Mus musculus: one gene and its partner. The protein of the gene in region 2 interacts with the protein of the main gene of each other region in a pairwise test. Links are inferred from orthologs where the notes say so. Each region holds a gene or a part of one and is shown on either strand. Other genes may lie near its edges.

The links. The genes of interacting proteins can lie anywhere in the genome.
Region 1: the proteins of Egfr (region 2) and Cdh1 interact in binary tests that used the Homo sapiens proteins (3 or more experiments, as listed by UniProt). The link is inferred for Mus musculus from reciprocal best matches to the Homo sapiens genes EGFR and CDH1.

What each region holds. Positions count from the first base shown.
Region 1 is NC_000074.6:106,662,240-106,665,892, forward strand, and holds part of Cdh1 (cadherin-1 preproprotein), read left to right. Parts: intron 1-1,507; coding exon 1,508-1,732; intron 1,733-1,956; coding exon 1,957-2,184; intron 2,185-3,154; coding exon 3,155-3,285; intron 3,286-3,653.
Region 2 is NC_000077.6:16,905,665-16,909,317, forward strand, and holds part of Egfr (epidermal growth factor receptor isoform 1 precursor), read left to right. Parts: intron 1-1,071; coding exon 1,072-1,218; intron 1,219-3,212; coding exon 3,213-3,310; intron 3,311-3,653. UniProt on the Homo sapiens protein: Receptor tyrosine kinase binding ligands of the EGF family and activating several signaling cascades to convert extracellular cues into appropriate cellular responses.

The DNA.
Region 1 (3,653 bases), on a different chromosome or scaffold from region 2:
TTCTGCACTTGAATCTCACTCCTTCCTGCAGGAACTTGGTTCATGGTTATGAACTTACTATTACTTAAATCTTATAATTCTTCAATTTATAATCTTATAATCTTCAACTTTTCTCTCTTTTATTTTGAATTTTATGTGTTTCTTAGGGTTTCATTTCTGTGAAGAGACACCATAACCAAGGCAACTCTTTTTTTTTTTTTTTTTAAAGATTTATTTATTATTTATTTTATATATATAACTATACTGTAGCTGTCTTCAGATGCACCAGAAAAGGCCATCAGATCCCATTACAGATGGTTGTGAGCCACCATGTGGTTGCTGGGAATTGAACTCAGGACCTCTAGAAGAGTTGTCAGTGCTCTTAACCACTAAGCCATCTCTCCAGCCCCCAAGGCAACTCTTACAAAGGAAAACATTTGGGGCTGGCTAAAAGTTTCAGAGGTTTAGTCCATTATCGTCACGGCAGGAAGCCGAGAGGCATGTGGGCAGTGGTGCTAGAGAAGGAGCTGAGAGTTGTACATCTTGATCCAAGGGCAGCTAGGAAGAGGCTCTGATTGAGCCTAGGCTGGTGGAGCCTAGGCACGGGAGACCTCAAAGCTTACCCCCACAGTTACACACATCCTCCCACAAGACCACACCAACTTGATTAAGGCCACACCTCCTAATAGTGCCCCTTTTTGTAGGGCAAGCATTCAAACACACGAGCCTGTGGGGGCCAAACATACTACCACAATGTGTATGGGTATTATAGCCTGCCTGTGTTCCTGGTATCCACAGAGGATGGTCACCTGGAACTGGAGTTACAGACAGTCAGGAGCTACTATGAAAGTGCTAAAAACCGAACCCTAAGCATTCTTAGTCACTGAGCTGTCTCTTCGGCCCCTTTTCCTTTCTGTATGGAAATGGGAACTGACCACAGTGCTAAACATAGACGTGTGTTCTCTACTACTTATATATATATATATACCACGTGGATACCCCAAGATTTTTTAGTATAGTTTAGTTTGTTTGTTTTGTTTGTTTTTGTTTTAGACATTGTTTCCTATATAACCCAGGCTAGTTTTGAACTCACGATGTAGCCCAAAAGACCTCAAAATTGATGTGCCCCCCCCCCCCATCCTGTGTGTTTCTAAGATTCCAACAAATTCTACTGCATTCTGCTTTTCCTAACCTCCTAATAAGATCTGCCGGAGCCAGGCTTCTGTAGGAGGTTGGGGTGGGATAAGGCTTTGTCTCAACAAACAAATGACAACAACAAAAAAAATAAACTCCCGAATTGGACTGTATTAGTAATGTACTAGAAAGAGAAGAAGAAGAAAGCTGCCTTTGAAATGAGAAATAATCTAAGACATTGTATACAGAGCATGCTTGTCAGAAAGCCGAGACAAGGACAGAGCGCCTGTGGTTAGTGTGGAACCTGCTGAGGGGTCGTGGACAAACTAAGAATTTGACCTCCTGGAAGGTGACACGATCCTTAATCTGTGACACCTTTTATGTTTTCTCATAGGTTCACCCATTGCCACTGGCACGGGCACTCTTCTCCTGGTCCTGTTAGACGTCAATGACAACGCTCCCATCCCAGAACCTCGAAACATGCAGTTCTGCCAGAGGAACCCACAGCCTCATATCATCACCATCTTGGATCCAGACCTTCCCCCCAACACGTCCCCCTTTACTGCTGAGCTAACCCATGGGGCCAGCGTCAACTGGACCATTGAGTATAATGACGCAGGTGTGAAGGCTCGCTGTCTTTAGAGAGGCTCTGCCTGTCCCGCTTCACCCTTCCCTTTGATATCTGCCCCCGGTTCCTTCTGCATTCATGCACGCTCCTTTTCCTCGTATTGCGCGGTATTCCTCCAGCACTCGATGTCTCTGGTTCCCTAAACCCTTTGATTCACTGAGCTTTTTGCTCTGCCCCCTCTCCCGGTCTCATCGTTCCTGTTTTCCTTTCCCTAGCTCAAGAATCTCTCATTTTGCAACCAAGAAAGGACTTAGAGATTGGCGAATACAAAATCCATCTCAAGCTCGCGGATAACCAGAACAAAGACCAGGTGACCACGTTGGACGTCCATGTGTGTGACTGTGAAGGGACGGTCAACAACTGCATGAAGGCGGGAATCGTGGCAGCAGGATTGCAAGTTCCTGCCATCCTCGGAATCCTTGGAGGGATCCTCGCCCTGCTGAGTAAGTTCAGGTGGCAGGTGCTTCAGCCCGTGACCTCTAAAACCAGGAAGGGCCATCTCCTAGGAGGAGCTTTTATTTGGGGTACAGGGGGCGCAGGATCCTTCTGTTCTGTCTGTCTCTGCTCGCCTAGATTGAGTGCATGTCCTTCAGTAAGTGGGGCTTCAGACCCAGGATCCCTGATGAGGCTCCTCAGATGCTTCATTTTAAACCAGTCCCCAAGGAATGCTGTGCTGGCAGAGCCAGGTTTACGTATAGCTCGCTGTACTCGTTAGCACAGGCAAGGCTGGCAGCTACCATCACCTCCGCATTCCATCTTGGAGGGCAGATGAGAGGGGAAGTAGAGGCTGCCTACCTGCAGGTTGTAGATGTCAGCAGCACTCACATCTCATTGGCCCAAGTGTAGCCATGACAAATGACAAGGCATCCTGGAAGCTCCTGCTCTTAGCTGGGTGATGATGAGCCCATTTTCATTGCATGCTTGGGAGACAGTGGTATTGGATGGAGGGCTGAGTGAGCAGCGGATGGTGCCCATGGCTGAAAAGATGAAGGAGAGTGGAGATGCTTGGAGGGAATCTGTCATTTTTGTCCGTGGTCTTTGTTCTGATTTTACCTGTCCTGGGCTTGGTAAAATGCCATGAGGATTTCAATGATCAAAGATACGGGGTTTTGCTTATTGAGGATATACCTTGACTTTTTTTGTCGGGGGCAGTAGATAAAGCTGGGGAAATTCTCTTATTAGACATTGGAAGCAGAAGTGGTATCAGGAGCCAGATGTCAAACTTGTTTATCATTTTTGTTATATTGTTTTTTGAGAAATGATCTCATTTGGCTGGACATGAGATAGTCCTCGTTCAGGTGGCTACCCACCTGCCTGGTGGGGTGAGGCTGTGGCATTCCAGGACAGTGGCTTCCCCTGGTCTTTCCTGCGTGTGGCTCATCACTCTTCCCTGCCTTCCTTCCTTGTCTCCAGTTCTGATCCTGCTGCTCCTACTGTTTCTACGGAGGAGAACGGTGGTCAAAGAGCCCCTGCTGCCACCAGATGATGATACCCGGGACAATGTGTATTACTATGATGAAGAAGGAGGTGGAGAAGAAGACCAGGTGGGTTTTAAAGATGGAGAGCTTTAAGTCTGATTAAGGGGTGTTGGGTAGGCTATGTCAGTCATCACCCTGCTGTACTGCTATGGAGGACAGAACTCTGTGGTCACAAGAATTCAAGTTTCTTCCCCCAGACACTCTTGTGTTCTCTACACTGCTGGTTGATTACATTGAGACTCACAACATCTGTAAATCAGTGAGGGCCTTTCCCAACCAGGCAGCGTTGTGATGAAAGACTCTAAGCTGCAGCCTACGCTCGGGTCTGCTGCACGGGAGCCTCATGTGAGTTGCAGTAGGCATGCATTGCTGTCTTATTGCCTGAAGCCCCTCACATGCCAGAGCCCGTTTTTAACAGACAAGACACTACTTGT
Region 2 (3,653 bases):
CGAGCTAAGCTTCTGCCTGAAGAGGTCAAACAAACAAAAGCTCCTGCTGTGAACTTGATGTGAACCAAAGGAAGACAGCAAAGGAGGTTTCATGGGGGAAGCATTTCTGATAGAGAAATGTTTTCTTATGAAATGGCCAAGACTGTTGTTTCATGTGGTGCTTGATTTAATCTCTCTGTGTCAAAGAGAGGAGCTCGGCAAGGGGATCCATGAGGATAACTGTGGGGAGGAAGTAAGAATGAGAAGGTAGTTACTGCTTGTTCCCAAGGAAGACCACCTTACCAGGGCCCAGCTAGTCTAAATACAGCACAGCCATGCACAGGACTATGTCTTAACCTTCCCAGGATGACCACTCTAGCCAAGCCTCCCTTGCTTGTCCTTCGCTTATCTTGAGCCTATTGTGGCCTAACTAGCAAAGTCCTTGGTTCCTGTGTCAGGCACTTGGTCCTTGAATTTCCCCCAGGCAGTTCAGGGAAAAGTTAGCAAACAGTGTGATTATAAAACACAACTCTCACCCCAAAGGGGGAAAGGGATAATTGATTCTGAAACAGACATGGGTGGTCATCACCAAGGAACGCAAATTCAGGTTGCCCTGAACATTTTCCCTCACAGAGGCAGATGCATCAGATTGTATTAGCTACAGAGCAAAGAGTGTTATGTATCAAATGGTCTGCAGTTTACAGCCTTGCTTTGTAAGGTCCTTGCTTGCACTACCTTGAGTATAAGGTTCTCAGAACAGCTGTGCACGTAGGCAGACCTTGTTCTGTAGCAAACTCGGGCTCCACAGTTGTCCTTGTCTTTAAGGTTATAACTATTCCACTTATCAGTCAGCAACTATATGCCTCACATTTAGCTAAACTTTTTTGTATAAGATCTTACTACATCTTTGAAGCCATGCCATGAAACAGATGCTATTATCTTACTTGATAGGTAAATCCCCTCAAACCAGTGGCTCAAGGCTACAGAAACAGGTTTTAAAATACTTACTAACAATAATGGCTAAGGATTAGGTGGTGTGTTAAGCATTAACTCACAATGCAATGACTTTCTTTGCCTGTTCTATCTGCCTAGGTGTCACTGTGTGGGAACTGATGACCTTTGGGTCCAAGCCTTATGATGGAATCCCAGCAAGTGACATCTCATCCATCCTAGAGAAAGGAGAGCGCCTTCCACAGCCACCTATCTGCACCATCGATGTCTACATGATCATGGTCAAGTGTGAGTGACTGGGGGGGGGGGGGGCATCCACACTCATGTTGATGGTCCTGGAAGGATGTAATTGCTCTGAGACAAATAGCCCAGGCCCTCATTTCCCCGAAGAAATAGCATCAGTCTTCGAGTCAGGCTCACAGTTCCAGAAACATCATAAACACCTCCAGCAAGCATTCTTTAGGAATCACTTGCTTGACTCATCCTGACCTCATATTTGCCCAAATTTGCAAGCAAATAAATTAAAACTGAAGTCTTTCCTAAGCCATTATTCCCAGATATTCTATGATCTGAGTTGCTCAATGAACTTACAAAGTTGTATTACATTTTGAGACCTGTTGCTAGAGAAACTTAATGTTTCAAAATGCCTAACAATGAGTAACCATGGGAGTTTGATACAATCTTTGTTTCTGCTTTGGCTTAAATCTTTCAAACTGGATTTATGCAAGGCCTCCTGAAGTAAAGCAGTTAATCATCTTAATCCCGACAGGAGTGTGCATTTTGATAAGTGCTAGTATTCCACACAAATCTGTAATTGTGCTCTGAAAGTAATAGTACACATGTCATAGCATTGGCATAGAAACAGCATAGGAATATGACAGAGCAGTGGTCTTAGTTTGCATTCTGTTGCTCTGATAAAACACTGACCAAAGGCAACTTGTGGAGGAAAGGCTTTTTTTTGGCTTACAGCTTACTGTCTGTCATCAAGGGATGCTAGGGAAAAAGCTCAAATCAGGAAGCTGGAGGCAGAAACTGAAGCAAAGATGGAGGAACTCTGCCTGTGGCTTCCTCTTCCTGGTTCACTCAGCCTGCTTTCTTAGACAACAGAAAAACAGGAGCCAAGGGATGGCACCGCCCACAGTGGGTTGGGCTCTCCCACATAACTCATTAATCAACAGAATGTTGCTCACAGACCAATCTACTGGAAGCATTCTCTCAGCTAAAGTTTTCTCTTCCCAGATGTCTCTAGCTCATTTCCAGTTGATGAAATCTAACCAGCAAGGCTGCTTTATCATAAATAACAATGTATTCTCTGAACTTTGGACCAGGGAGTTAATCTATTTTCACTGCTTTGGTTTCAGATGAGGAAGCTGAGGCCTAGAGAGGTTGCATGATTTGTCTAAGGTCACATAGCAGTTTAGCCTAAAATAGCTTGATGACCAGTTGAAAAAATAAATCCAATCCCTAAAGGCACAAGTATCTAGTGCACAGTTTATCCTCTCCATTGCTGGATCTATTTTTAGATCATTGGTAAAGCAATGAACCTCTGTGACTACTAAATATAGTTTTACCCAGAAAATACTAGTTATGACACCCTAGGTTCAGTCCCCAGCACTGGTAAATAATTGATACATAGATTGATGGATGTATACATGCATACACATATACATCGATTCATTGATCGATGCATAGATACATTGTTAGATGGTAGATAGATAGACAGATATATATCGCTTGTTTGCTTGGTTGGTTGGTTGATTGATTGATTGATTGATTGACTGATGATACACAGATTCAGCCTTGTTAATTGCATGAATGGTAACTGAATGGAGAATGCAATAAGGCCTTGACATTTCTGTAAATTGAATCTATTTTCTAGCTTAGAAAGCTGTGGATTAGGACAAAGAAAGCACAGAGGCATACCAAAGTCAGAGTAGTTCAGCAGTGATTGCCCACAGTAAAACCCTGTGGTCACTGAAGATCATAATGCAAGAATGATGACTAAGGAAGGACAAACGTAAAACCATTACCGTATATGTTATTGTTACTCTGACTGAAAACTGTTCTATAGGGCTGGGAATGAATCCACAAGGTATTACAATAACTTCTCATGTACTTCAAGAACTAATCAGTGTTATCTCATGTGCCAAGCCTCTCCCAAAGATTATGTGCCTTCATTATCCATTTGCCTAGCAAGATCACAGCATCACTTAAAGCAATGCCCTCCTTGTCATTTCTTCCAGGGTTCTAATTGCTTTGCTTTGGCTTCCTTCCTTTCTCAGGCTGGATGATAGATGCTGATAGCCGCCCAAAGTTCCGAGAGTTGATTCTTGAATTCTCCAAAATGGCCCGAGACCCACAGCGCTACCTTGTTATCCAGGTATCAGGCCAAAGTTTGTTCTTACATGGTCAAAATCTCTCCAATAGGTCCAGATGCCACTGTGCTGAGCCAACACAGTCTGTGAAGCATGTTCTTGATAATAAATCCTTTTGTGCATTGGAGCCTCTTCCATTATGATACAATGACTGAACTACATGGGGATAAGTGGTGACTCTCACCCAACTCCAAATCATCATTGCATTTGAGCAGTCCAACCTGGACCCAATCTGTTCCTCTTTTGCGAGTATCACCTCATATTTTGGCTGATTTGAGCCATGTCTTTGCTAAACAGAGGAGCAAGACTTCACTGTCAACCTACATGGCTTCCTTCCCTGACTCCCTT